3 linked regions of the Macaca mulatta genome follow. The main gene of each other region encodes a partner of the protein of the gene in region 2 in a complex. Links are inferred from orthologs where the notes say so. Each region holds a gene or a part of one and is shown on either strand. Other genes may lie near its edges. The genes, in order: SLC7A13, SLC3A1 and SLC7A9.

The links.
Region 1: the proteins of SLC3A1 (region 2) and SLC7A13 are in contact, whole or in part, in a cryo-EM structure (PDB 8WK6), measured with the Homo sapiens proteins. The link is inferred for Macaca mulatta from reciprocal best matches to the Homo sapiens genes SLC3A1 and SLC7A13. Residues at the interface, in NP_000332.2 of Homo sapiens: Pro64, Tyr65, Ala66, Gly67, Met68, Pro69, Lys70, Leu73, Phe76, Ser77, Arg81, Tyr82, Pro85, Arg86, Leu89, Phe90, Thr93, Ser96, Val97, Leu100, Ile101, Thr104, Ile107, Ile108, Ser111, Cys114, Leu115, Glu194, Asn195, Asp202; in NP_620172.2 of Homo sapiens: Ile120, Phe123, Phe124, Pro125, Ser126, Cys127, Leu132, Pro133, Cys136, Leu137, Leu139, Ala140, Met141, Trp143, Ile147, Arg151, Lys187, Thr265, Arg267, Asp281, Arg282, Glu450, Cys454, Tyr455, Gln457, Leu458, Leu459, Phe460, Asn461, Ile462.
Region 3: the proteins of SLC3A1 (region 2) and SLC7A9 are in contact, whole or in part, in a cryo-EM structure (PDB 6LID), measured with the Homo sapiens proteins. The link is inferred for Macaca mulatta from reciprocal best matches to the Homo sapiens genes SLC3A1 and SLC7A9. Residues at the interface, in NP_000332.2 of Homo sapiens: Pro64, Tyr65, Ala66, Gly67, Met68, Pro69, Lys70, Leu73, Phe74, Phe76, Ser77, Tyr82, Pro85, Arg86, Phe90, Thr93, Val97, Leu100, Ile101, Ala103, Thr104, Ile107, Ile108, Ser111, Cys114, His201, Asp202, Thr373, Glu374, Pro375; in NP_001119807.1 of Homo sapiens: Cys137, Phe140, Tyr141, Val142, Gly143, Cys144, Pro147, Ile149, Val150, Cys153, Leu154, Ala156, Ala157, Leu160, Phe161, Thr164, Leu168, Thr279, Thr281, Asp295, Arg296, Tyr299, Tyr343, Val346, Arg347, Lys467, Thr470, Met471, His472, Gln474.

Annotation. Positions count from the first base shown.
Region 1 is NC_133413.1:96,681,050-96,685,144, forward strand, and holds the end of SLC7A13 (solute carrier family 7 member 13), read right to left. Parts: coding exon 4,026-4,095; intron 880-4,025; coding exon 616-879; 3' UTR 279-615; downstream 1-278. UniProt on the Homo sapiens protein: Associates with SLC3A1/rBAT to form a functional heterodimeric complex that transports anionic and neutral amino acids across the apical plasma membrane of renal epithelium.
Region 2 is NC_133418.1:80,554,621-80,558,715, reverse strand, and holds part of SLC3A1 (amino acid transporter heavy chain SLC3A1), read left to right. Parts: intron 1-2,747; coding exon 2,748-2,927; intron 2,928-3,464; coding exon 3,465-3,619; intron 3,620-4,095. UniProt on the Homo sapiens protein: Acts as a chaperone that facilitates biogenesis and trafficking of functional transporter heteromers to the plasma membrane.
Region 3 is NC_133424.1:44,155,656-44,160,428, reverse strand, and holds the start of SLC7A9 (B(0,+)-type amino acid transporter 1), read left to right. Parts: upstream 1-1,827; 5' UTR 1,828-1,918; intron 1,919-3,060; 5' UTR 3,061-3,085; coding exon 3,086-3,172; intron 3,173-4,773. UniProt on the Homo sapiens protein: Associates with SLC3A1 to form a functional transporter complex that mediates the electrogenic exchange between cationic amino acids and neutral amino acids, with a stoichiometry of 1:1.

The sequences.
Region 1 (4,095 bases), on a different chromosome or scaffold from region 2:
CCTATAACCCCAGCTACTCAGGAGGCTGAGGCAGGAGAATCCCTTGAACCCAGGAGGTGGAGGTTGCAGTGAGCCGAGATCACGCCACTGCACTCCAGCCCAGGCAACAGAGTGAGGCTCCATCTCGATGAGAAAAAAAAAAAAAAAAGTGCTGCATTCTAGAAGGGAAAAGCCAACTGGAAAAATAGAATTATTCTTTTCATCTTCAAATCAGCATCTTCCCTGGCCCCGCCCACCTCAAAAAAAAAGGACTCAGGAAAGATGAAGATAAGGAATGCTTTTAAAATTTTTAGTCATTCACTTTTATTATAGGATTCCCACAAATTCAGTAGAAAAGGGGTGGGATACAGAAAAAAGAGTTAGAGAATGGGAGATGTATAATCACTCTATCAAGCTATGCAAACCAGGACTTAAGTTTTTTACCACACAAAGCAGAGCTTTAGTTATGCATAACAATTTCTTAGTGACTTTGAAGCCAGGTACTGTCTTGGGTACTTTTGTATACATTACTTATTTCATTTGAGAAAAAAAAATAGTTACCATAGGAATTTCACCATGAATGTTCTATCATGTGTTTAACCTTGATTTGGAATCTGATATATGTTTTTTAGAAGGCTATTTTTTAACAGTTTGCACTTCTGACATCTGTTCCTCAGACGTATCAGGGAGGCAAATATTAAATAGTAATTGTAAATAGCAAGTCATCTTCTCAAACCAAGCCAATCTTATTTTAAAATGCATTAAAGGTATGTAAAATAGTAATCCGCTGAGAACTAACAGAAGCACGTAGACATAATGCACATTTGGAGACTTTACCAATGGTATCACAACCAAGCCCACGTCGATGACTATTGTGGTTAATGGAAATGGCAGAAACACCTGAAAAGAGCAAAGTTTGAAAAAATATTAGATATGAACATCCATGAATGATACCTGCATCTTTATATAAATAAAAATGCAGAGATACAAGCTAATTAAACAGGCTAAATTAGCTGTAAAGTTGAATAAACCTGGCTTAGAAGTCAGATAAATGCCTGAGTGAAAGGAGACGTTGAAGACACATTGTCAGGTTGGAGGGAATGGACATCTAGCATTTGACTGTCCATGAATGGAAATAACTAGAACCATTTGCTGATAAGATCACAATCTACTGATCTGAGTACCATGAATCTGTTAAGAGGGAATTTCTAAGGCCCAATGGAAGTAACAAAAATCTTCTTTGGAAAATATCTCAAGGCAGTAAGAAATTCATGACAAAACAGAAGAACCATCCTCAGACCCTCTGTTACACAGGTAAATACTGACAGGTAAATGTTATAACTTTATAGGCTCAACATATTAAAAAAAAATCAAGACAAAAATTTTAGCTAAAACAATTTTCCCTGTTTTATATTTTGTTTTTGTTTTGCCAAAAGCCTTAAAGACCAGTCCTTGGTACCTGCTTTGTGTTAGAATTGTAAGAGTTCTCTACAACATTACCCAACCTAGGGAGAAAATTGATATAAGATATAACTAATATGAATCTACATTCCCCAAAGATATATATAACACAGCTAGTCATAATTTATGAAACAAAACCCTTTCATTAGAGGATTATTTGTTGGGATTTAATCATTAAGAATCTCTTCTTGGCCGGGCACAGTGGCTCATGCCTGTAATCTCAGCACTTTGTGAGGCCAAGGCTGGTGGATCATGAGGTCAGGAGATCGAGATCAGCTTGGGCAACATGGTGGAACTCCGTCTCTACTAAAAAAACAAAAATTAGCTGGGTGTGGTGGCGGGCACCTGTAATCCCAGCTACTTGGGAGGCTGAGGCAGGAGAATCACTTGAACTCAGGAGGCGGAGGTTGCAGTGAGCCAAGATCACGCCACTGCATTCCAGCCTCTCCAGCCTGGACGACAAGAGACTCTGTCTCAAAAAAAAAAAAAAAAAAAAAAAAAAAAAATCTCTTCTTAGTTTATAAAGCATCCTTGAAAAAGATACTTTAGGCCGGGTACGGTGGTTCACACCTGTAATCCCAGCCCTTTGGGAGGCTGAGACAGGCGGATCACGAGATCAGGAGATTGAGACCATCCTGGTTAACGTGGTGAAACTCCGTCTCTACTAAAAATACAAAAGAATTAGCCAGGTGTGGTGGTGAGCTCCTGTAGTCCCAGCTACTCGGGAGGCTGAGGCAGAAGATTGGCGTGAACCCAGGAGGTGGAGTTTGCAGTGAGCTGAGATTGCGCCACTGCACTCCATCCTGGGCGACAGAGTGAGACTCCATTTCAAAAAACAAAATAAATAAATAAATAAATAAATAATAAAGATACTTTATCATCTCATGGCTCAGTATCAGTTATCAAATAATTGAGAGAAAAGAAAAGAGCACTCCTGGGGGCATACAAGACAAATTTTAGCCACTTGTACTTAAGGCTGTTCTTGCCTTCCTTTCTGATGCAAATGTAAGTTGAATAATAATATAAGCAATAATAGCCATCAATGTCAGACCCTGGATTGTTTGCATGCCTTAGCTTACTTAATACATCCAATGTTAATAGGAGGTCGGTATTATTTTTTCCCATTTTACATCTGAAGAAACTGAGGTTCAGAGGTTCAATAACAAGACTAAACTCAGCTATTAGCCAAGCAACTGGACTTGAGCCCAAAGCTCTTAATGATTATCTTATGCTGTTATTTGTGTATAACTAATTTATCCCCCAGTTCATAACTTCTTTATAATTGTATCTATTAGGGTCAGTGATCTAACAAAAGTGTGGGTGAGAAAACAGCAAAAGACATTAAAAAGATGCAGCATGTGAAACTATACAGAGAGCAGACGTTAGGGAGGCACATCCAAGGGGGACTATGACCATCAACCCTGCTGTAGATTCGATCTCTCTCCGTATGTGTTCTCTGAGCTTCCTCTGCAGATCACTAGGTAGCAATCATCACGCCATGATTTTTGGTTTACATGACTGTCCAGATAGATTATAACCTGACTAAAGGCAGGAGCCAAGTCTTAATTATTTTTCTACTCAGAGTACCTAGCAAGGTGCTTAAAATATAGTTGCTTCTTGACAACTAATACTCAGATACACAACAATTAAGAGATGACTGGATGGAAGAAGTTGAAAAGAAGGCTGGAAAGGAAAGAAGGACATAAATCAACCACAGCTGGTGATGGGAACATTGCTTTCGTTCTCTCAGCAGTTCTTTCGTATATTTTGTATTTAGCGAGAGTCAAACACTCCAAAGAGACTGCCTAGATTTAAATCTTGCTGTAATCCACGCTGTGTGAGCTTGGGCAAGTGACCTAACTTTTCTAAGTCTGTTTTCTTATCTGTAAAATGGGAATAACAATAGAATCCACCTTTCTATTACTGAGAGGATTAAAGGTGATCATCCAAGCCAAGCTTTGAACAACCTACCTAGGCAACCAAGATTATTTTATTATTCTGATCATCAGTGTCAGGGCCATCTCTCTCCAATAACATTCTTATGCTACCAAGTTTTGCTGCTTATTTGTTTTTCTACAATTAAATGGTTGTCTCCTCTCCTGTGAAAATTTTTTTCATCCAGACTGAAAGTCAGTTTAAAATAAGTAAAGTTGAAAGACTGGAATTTGCCAACAAAGTAAGTTGATGTTTCAGAACAGTGGATGTTATCACTTGTGACCTCACCTTGCCTCTTCTGTTTCTCATCTGCTAAATCTGACCCTGACTGTGGAAGACATTCATATGCATAACTAGTTACATAAGTAGACAAAATAATATCTGTTCAAAAGACTCATAATGATCTGTCTAACCATCCAGAGAACTGTTTTTCTCTCTAATAAACCATTAAATGGAATATAAGAGACTTTATATTGAGTAACCTAGCCAATAAAAATGAAAATTAAAACCAAGACCAGATTATTCTTATGTTTCACAATAACTGAGTATTCAGAAGATCTACTTATAGATGCCTTGATTATAATCTGAAATACAGTTATACTCAATATCTGTTCTTTCACACAGAAAAGAATTAGAAAATCAAATTTTACCTTATAAGGTATAGATAGATTGGGTTCCTGGTATCTCCGCCTTAATATTCCTATCATTAATAATATAGAC
Region 2 (4,095 bases):
CTCGGCCTCCCAAAGTGCTGGGATTACAGGCTTGAGCCACCGCGCCCGGCCAACACGGTGGTTTCTAATCAGCTCTGACGTTTGCCATTTCCAATACCTGTTCTTGGAGAAATGTTTTACTTCCTGCAATCCATAGGCATTTGTCTTTGAGGTTGAGAGGATTTCGTTGTTGTTATGATGAAGATCCCATTCCAGTTTTGAGTCTGGTTTTACTGATTGCCCTCTCTCCCCCTAAAATGTGGGGTGGGATCCCTTGTTTACTTTCTCTCTCTAGCCACTTTGTTTTCATCCTCATGTTCCTTTGTGCCTCATCATAAGATACATTGTGTTGCTGTGCTGGCTTAGATCAAAACTCTTTTGTTGCCTGTTGAGTCCCAGCTACTCGGGAGACTGAGGCAGGAGAATGGCATGAACCCGGGAGGCAGAGGTTGCAGTGAGCAGAGATTGCACCATTGCACTCCAGCCTGAGCGACAGAGCGAGACTCCGTTTCAAAAAAAAAAAGCAGCCTGTTACAGGGGAAGAGCCCAGATCCTAGGTGTGGAATGACTGTGCTTTGGAATTAGTGACCTTCAGCCTGCTGTGTGGCCTTTGACAGTTTGATTCTAGGAAGCCACATCAGGATTATACAGAAAGTTACTGGAGATTGAATACTAGACTCAAGTTGCTGAATATGCATTTAGGACTCTGAACTAGAAGGAGAAAACACATTATCTGCTCGTTATCCTACGAAGTTCCAAATACAAAGTTTCATTTCCACATGTCTTCTCAGCTAAGCCTAAAATTCTCTTCTGTATAAATTCCTGGCTTCCTATATAAGTGAATAAGGGAAACAGGCCAAATGTGGCAAGTTCAAAGGCAGTCTGAGAGTGGAAACAAAGACTCCTCAAATACTGGCACAGACTTACCTTCCGTGTTGTGGTTACACTCCTCCTCAGACCCCGGGCGCTGACAACATTTATCACCTTTTAAAATTAATTGATGTATTTACTTATTTATTTATATTTATTATTATTATTATTATTTGAGATGGAGTCCCACTCTGTCACCCAGGCTGGAGTGCAGTGGCATAATCTCACCTCACCGCAACCTCTGCCTCCCACGTTCAAGCAATTCTCCTGTCTCAGCCTCCCAGGTAGCTAGGATTACAGGCATGCACCACCGTCCCCAGCTAATTTTTGTATTTTTTAGTTGGGATAGGGTTTCACCATGTTGGTCAGGCTGGTCTTGAACTCTTGACCTCAAGTGATCCACCTGTCTCAGCCTCCCTAAGTGTTGGAATTACAGGTATGAGCCACTGTGTCCAGCCTTCTCACCCTTTTTTAGACATGCCCTGTCTATGCTTGCTCCCTCCTTTCCTTTGCTGTGCCTGGAAGCCCTTCACTCTGATCCCTCTTGCCCGCACCATCCTGGGCCTTGTCTGTCCTTACCCTCAGGGGTCATCAGCTTCCTCTGCCCCTGGGGGCCAGGGGCTAATGCCCTGATGCCCTTAAAGCACTTTCTGCAGCACTTCCTTAGCTCTTCTCCAGTCTTGTCGTCATGCCACCCCTGCCTGCAGACGCTTCCGAGACCAACACCACCCAAAAGAAACACAATGGGAGTCACATAAGAAATTGTAAATTCTGTAGTAGCCACATTAAAAAAAGGAAAAAAGAAGCAGGTGAAATTGATTTTAATATGTTCTGTTTAATCCAATGTATCATTTCAACACATAATCAGTATAAAAATATATACATATTATTATTATTTTTTTTTATTTGAAGACAGGGTTTTATCATGTTACCCAGACTGGTCTCGAATACCTGAGCTCAAGCAATCTGCCCACCATGGCCTCCCAAAGTGCTGGGATTACAGGCATGCGCCACCATGCCCGGCCCAGTATAAAAATATTAATGAGATTTTTACATTCTTTCTTTTTGTACAGGGTCTTCAAAATCCAATACATGTTGTTCCCTTACAGCACAGCTCAATTCCAACCAGCCACGCTGCCCGTGCTCAGTAGCCACATGTGGCACCTGGCTGTTAGAACAGTGCAGTGTAGACCACGTGACCGATGGGGCCATGTGTTACTCTGCTCTGTTCCTTGACACTTAGCTCAGGAGCTGGCATAGATTAGCTGCTCAAAAACTATGTGTAGAATGAATGAACAATACCATAGTCTTGGTTTTAAATATAAAAAAATGAGTAAGTCACAGATTTTTGTTAATGCTATGTTAAATATCATCGATTACTGCTAGGTAACTAATTTGATTTTTTCTTTTCTTTTCTTTTTTTCTTTTTTTTGAGAAAGGGTCTTGCTCTGTCGCCCAGGCTGGAGTGCAGCGACACGATCTTGGGTCCTTGTAGCCTCCACCTCCCGGGTTCAAGTGATCCTCCTGCCTCAGCCTCCCAGGTAGCTGGGATCACAGGCATGTGCCACCACGCCCAGCTAATTTTTGTATTTTTAGTAGAGACAGGGTTTTGCCATGTTGGCCAGGCTAGTCTTGAACTCCTGACCTTAGATATCCTCCCTCCTTGGCCTCCCAAAGTGCTGGGATTACAGGTATGAACCACGACACCCGGCCTAATTTGATGTTGTTGTTTTTTTATAGAGCTAGATCTTCCTATTTGAATTATACTCAAATTCAACAAAATTCTATGTATTTTTGCCTTCATGTAAATATTTCCATCTTAGGCATATTTGTTATATTTTTTGTCCTTTAACTAAAACAAAGTAGGATTTGTTCATGACTTTGACTTTTTTCTTCAGGTATTCAAGATAAACTGGACTACATCACAGCTTTAAATGTAAAAACTGTTTGGATTACTTCATTTTATAAGTCGTCCCTTAAAGATTTCAGATATGGTGTTGAAGACTTCCGGCAAGTCGATTCCATTTTTGGAACGATGGAAGATTTTGAGAATCTGGTTGCAGCCATACATGATAAAGGTAAGTTGAATGGAAAGTGGGCAGCATGGGGGTGAGGGTTGAGAGAAGCACTTTTTCAAATGTTTACTTAAAGCATTTCTTCCCTTTAACTGTCGTGTACTATTTCTTTCCCTCCCTCCCTCCCTCCCCTTCCTTTCTTCCTTCCTTCCTTCCCTCCCTCCCTCCCTCCCTCCCTCCCTCCCTCCCTCCTTCCTTCCTTCCTTCCTTCTCTTTCTCTTTCTTCCTTCCCTTCCCTTTCCTTTTTTCCTTTCTCCTTTCCCTTTCCTTTTTCCTTCCCTATCTCCTTTCTGCCCCCCCCCCTTTCCCTTCTTTTTTTTTTTTTTTTTTCCAGACAGGGTCTTGCTCTGTCTGCCAGGCTGGAGTGCAGTGGCGTAATCATGGCTCACTTCAGCCTCCACCTCCTGGGCTCAAGCAGTCCTCCCACCTTAGCCTCCCAATGTATTAGGGTTACAGGCGTGAGCCACTGCTGTGCCTGGCCTGTCATATGTTATTCTAATACAACTTTTCCTAGCATTTGAAATTTTTTTTACTCATTAGGTTTAAAATTAATCATCGATTTCATACCAAACCACACCAGTGATAAACATACTTGGTTTCAATTGAGTCGGACACGGACAGGAAAATATACTGATTATTATATCTGGCATGACTGTACCCATGAAAATGGCACAACTGTTCCACCCAACAACTGGGTAAGTATCAACCTGTCTGATTTACAAAGCGGTAAAAGGCAGATATGCAGTGATTGAACTGGTTTAGTAAAACCCTTTTGAGGAAAAAATTAATGAATATAGTTTATGGGAAGGGGGAAGTTTCTGAAAGAAATAGACGTAAGGCTTCCAGTTATTATTTACCCAGACCTCCAATTATTATTTAGGTTTCTGATTTCATCATAGAGGTGATGTGTTCTAGCAAATTCAAACCTATATTCTCTCCTTCCACTCTTGCTTCACTTCCTACCTGATCCAACTTGGATTCCATGTCCCATTAGTTTGATAACCATGTTTCTACTATCCATACCCCTTTGCTTATTTATTTATTTTTTCTTGAGATGGAGTTTTGCTCTTGTCCCCCAGGCTGGAGTGCAATGGCACGATCTCGGCTCACTGCAACCTCTGCCTCCTGGGTTTAAGCAATTCTCCTGCCTCAGCCTCACCAGTAGCTATGA
Region 3 (4,773 bases), on a different chromosome or scaffold from region 2:
CAATGTGTTCCACGAGGAGGCGCCTGTTGCTAGCCCCGCTTTGCAGATTCAGATCCTGATCCTGGCAGTGCTGCCTGAGCCCATGTGGGGAGTGGGTGAGGTTGCAGGGCTGTCTGGTGTCTGGCCCCAGCAGGGGACCACTGCCCCACCCTGCCCTCCTCATGTGGTCTCCTGTCAGCCCGCCAGGAGCACGTTTCCCCAGGGAGTATTCTGTGGTGTTTTGCAAACATGGATGTGCCAGGTGCTATGACGAGGCTGCAGCATTAGGAGGAGTGACCCCAGCAAGCCTGTGGGCAGGTTCTGTCTGGGGGTGGCAGGACCTGCCGCCAGCCCCTGGCTTCTACTCTCCAGCCTCTCTGCTCAGGGCTCTGGGCATGGCAGGCAGGTAAACAGGCTGTGCCCTCCCAAGATGGGAGATAATGAACTTTTTTTTTTTTTTTTTTTTTTGAGATGGAGTTTCGCTCTTTTTGCCCAGGCTGGAGTGCAATGGCACGATCTTTGCTCACTGCAACCTCCGCCTCCTGGGTTCAAGCGATTCTCCTGCCTCAGCCTCCCGAGTAGCTGGGATTACAGGCATGTGCTACCACGTCTGGCTAATTTTTTGTATTTTTAGTAGAGACGGGGTTTCTCCATGTTGGCCAGGCTGGTCTTGAACTCCCGACCTCAGGTGATCCACCCGCCTCGGCCTCCCAAAGTGCTGGGATTACAGGCGTGAGCCACCGCGCCCGGCCTGGAGCTGATGAACTTCTAAATCAGGTTCCTGTGCTCTGCAGACGGCTTTGAGAGAAACCTGTGCCTCTCTCAGGTCTGCTTGCCCCAAACTGTGCCCCAAAGACTCGCCCAGCTCCTTCCACCCCTGACCTTTGCTTCCATCCAATATCTGGGATGCAGTTAGGTTTGCCTCGAGGCAAAGCTACCAGAGTTTTGGCTGAAGATAACAGCTACAATGCTTCACACGCAGTGCTTATGCTGTGCCAGGCTGTCCTGCCTGTCTCATAAGGTGCTTCCTTCCCTATCTGAAAGGGCTTAGTGCTGACCTCTGAGGCTGCCGCCTGACCCAGGGTCCAGTCGCAGCGCGGGAGAACCTCTGCTCCCTCCCGGAGACATCCAGACCCTGGCAGCCCTGGATGGGGACCGGAGCTTCCTGGCCATGTGTTTCCTGTCCCCCCATAGGCCTCTGTTTCCCCGATGGGGAAGGTTTTGTGTCCCTTGTGTCTGATGAGCCAGGACATGGCTACGTGAACAGCACCACAGCCAAATCTGATGGGCATTTGGCCACAGCTGCAGGGAGGATGTGGGGGCCTGCACTGCCTCAGGCCTGCTCGTGGCTCCAAGTGGTGAAGCCCCATCACTGGTAAAGAGGAGTGGGACGGGCTCAACCGCTCTCACCTGATCAGCCAGAGGCAGGCCCGGGGCTTGGGGGAATTTCCTGGGCAGGGAGGAAACTGACAAACAGCTGAGTTACACACACACAGCAGTTCCTGTTTGAGCTGCCTGACTTGGGTTTTAAATATAGCCTATTAAAGCAATTAGAGAATTGGTTCCAAAGTTTACCTCCTCTGATTCCCAAAGATAAAAGAAGGCATAATTTATTTTATCTTTAGGTAAAAAGTGTAGATGATTTGGGACTATCTGGTTTTAAAAAAATAATCTGACCTAGACACAAATGAACAAAAACAGTTTTGGAGAGAAATTGGTCTGCCTCACCCTCCCCTTTTTGTGTGGCGTATCTAAGCTTCATGGCTAAAACAAAACCAAAAAAAAAAGGTGTTTAATAATTACCTTTATTGACCTCTGTACCTTCTGGACTTCCTTCACTCCTGGGCACAAGACATGGCCATTCCTAGGGTTGGACCGTGCAGGCACGGGCGGTCAGCTGGGCCGCAGCTTCTCCGGCTCTGCAGGGTCACGGAGGAAGGTAAGGTCCGTGGGTGATAGAAAGGCTCATGGCTCTCCTGGCCGGGGCCTGGACAGAGAATTTATTTAGAGAGAGGGTACAGTGGTGCATGGTTACCTCCTAATTCAGTCTGGAACTGGGTTTCCTCGGCAATGTTTTCATTCCTTTCATCACTTAATGAAAAAGTACCTGGCCAGGTGCGGTGGCTCACCCCTGAAATCCCAGCCCTTTGGGAAGCCAAGGTGGAAGGACTGCCTGAGCCCAGGAGTTGGAGGCCAGCCTGGGCAAATAGCGAGACTCACGTCTTTACAAAAAAAATATTGTAAAAATTTAAAAAGTACAAAGAAAAAGTACCTGTATTGTATTGTGGCTCTGTGATGTAGGGGAGTGTCTTTAATCTTGGGAAGGAATTATAAGACACACACTCCTTACCTGGACTTGATTCTGATAAATACATTCCACAATATTTTCATTTTTAAATTTTTTATATTTTATTTTTTTGAAACGGAGTCTCGCTCTGTGGCCCAGGCTGGAGTGCAGTGGCACGATCTTGGCTCACTGCAACCCCCACCTCCCAGGTTCAAGTGATTCTCCTGCCTCAGCCTCCTGAGTAGCTGGGATTACAGGCACCCGCCACCATGCCCAGCTAATTTTTTTTTTTTTTTCATTTTGAGTGGAGACGGGGTTTCGCCATGTTGGCCAGGCTGGTCTCAAACTCTTGGGCTCAAGTGATCCGCCCACCTTGGCCTCCCAAAGTGCTGGGATTACAGGCCTGAGCCATTGTGCCCAGCCCAGGATGTTGTTAAATATTTCTTTTAACTTTTGGAAAAAAAAAATGAAGTTGGACCACGGAGGTAGAATAACTTTCAAGGCACAGGCACGTGGGCCAGAAGGCTCCCGGGGCCTGTCTGGGAGAAAGCTAAGCAAGCAGCTGAGCTTTGGAGAACAGTGGGGAGCTGTGTTCCCCTGCCTGGACAGTGTTAATGACTGACTTTGACTCTGGGGCCCAGCGCATGAGCCCTGCAGGACTGGCAGCGGCCCCCGCCTGTCGCAGTAACCAACACTGTGCTTTTGGAGCCAGCTCCCCTAGTCCAGGCCGAGCTTGCACTTGCATCTTGTTTGCTGCTGCTGAACCAAGATTCAGCTGTGTGCCTTCCTTGCAGTCTCCTGGAACCAGCAGGAGGAAACATGGGGGATACTGGCCTGAGAAAGCGGAGAGAGGATGAGAAGTCGATCCAGAGCCAAGAGCCCAAGACCACCAATCTCCAAAAGGAGGTAAGGCGGTCTCTGGCGGGGCGGGCCCTTTGCAGGTTAGGCAAGGGCGTCTGAACGAGGGGCGCAGGCAGTGAAATCCGGGCCGATCCCTAGTGACACGGCAGAAGATGTGCTCTTTGATTTGTGAATTACATCTTTAAAGGGACAATCTCTGAACCTACTTCTTTCCCTCTTTCCCTCTCACCAGGGAACTCTGTATATTCTTTTTTTTTTTTTTTTTTTTAGATGGAGTGTTGCTCTGTCGCCCAGGCTGGAGTGCAGTGACGCCATCTCGGCTCACTGCAACCTCCACCTCCCCGGTTCAAGGGATTCTCCTGCCTCAGGCTCCTGAGTAGTGGGGATTATAGGCGCCCGCCACCATACCCGGCTAATTTTTGTATTTTTAGTAGAGATGGGGTTTTGCCATGTTGGCCAGGCTGGTCTCGAACTCCTGACCTCAGGTGATCCTCATACCTCGGCCTCCCAAAGTGCTGGGGTTACAGGTGTGTGCCACTGCACCCGGCTGCATTTTTTTTTTTTTTTTGAGACAGTGTTGCTATGTCGCCCAGGCTGGAGTGCAGTGGCTTGATCTCAGCTCACTGCAACCTCTGCTTCCTGGGTTCAAACAGTTCTCCTGCCTCAGTCTCCTGAGTAGCTGGGACTACAGGCATGTGCCACTATGCCTGGCTAATTTTTGTATTTTTAGTAGAGACAGGGTTTCACCATGTTGGCCAGGCTGGCCTCCAATTCCTGGCCTCAAGAGATCTGCCCACCTTGGCTTCCCAAGTGTTGGGATTACAGGCGTGAGCCAACTTGCCCGGCCCACATATTATTTTAAGTTCATACCTGGGTGCTTTTGTGTGTTGGGCAAATGTCTAAAGGGGCCAGTAGTTTTGTTCAAACTAATGACCTTTCCAGGAATGGTCAGAAAGGGCCTCCTTTTAAAAAATTAAAAAAAAAAAAAAAATTTAGAGACAAGGTCTTGCTCTGTCACCCAGGCTGGAGTGCAGTGGTACAATCATGGCTCACTGCAGCCTCGACCTCCTGGGCTCAAGTGATCCTCCTGCCTCAGCCTCCGGAGTAGCTGGGACTACAGGGGTGCACCACAATGCCCTGCCAAATTTTTAACTTTTCAAAAAATTTTTTTCTGTAGAGGCACGGTCTTGCTGTGTTGCCCAGGCTGGTCTGGAACTCCTGGGCTCAAGCCATCCTCCCACCTTGGGCTCCCAAAGTGCTGGGATTATAGGCGTGAGTCACTGTGCCCAGCCAGAGAGGGTGTTCTGATGGTTGAGTCCCCTCTAAATGCCTGTCCCTCTTATGTCTGAATGGCTGTAGTAAGGGGAAGTACTGCCCCCAGCATAGCCTGTTCTGTCTTAGAGGCATCTACCAGGGACGGCCGCTCTGAGTTGGGGTGCAGTGAGCAGCTGGGGCTGGCCCTGGGCCTGGAGGGGAAGGGAGCTTGGGGCTGTGGGAAGGCAGAAAGGAGCTCCACACGGGTCACCGCGGCAGGCCCAGGCAGTTGGGAGCAGCAGGTGCTGAGCATGGAGGAGTGGGGAGGGCTTCAGGCTCCGAGGAGGAGGAAAGGCAGCCCTAGGCAAGCTCGGGATGGTTTCCGCTTCCAG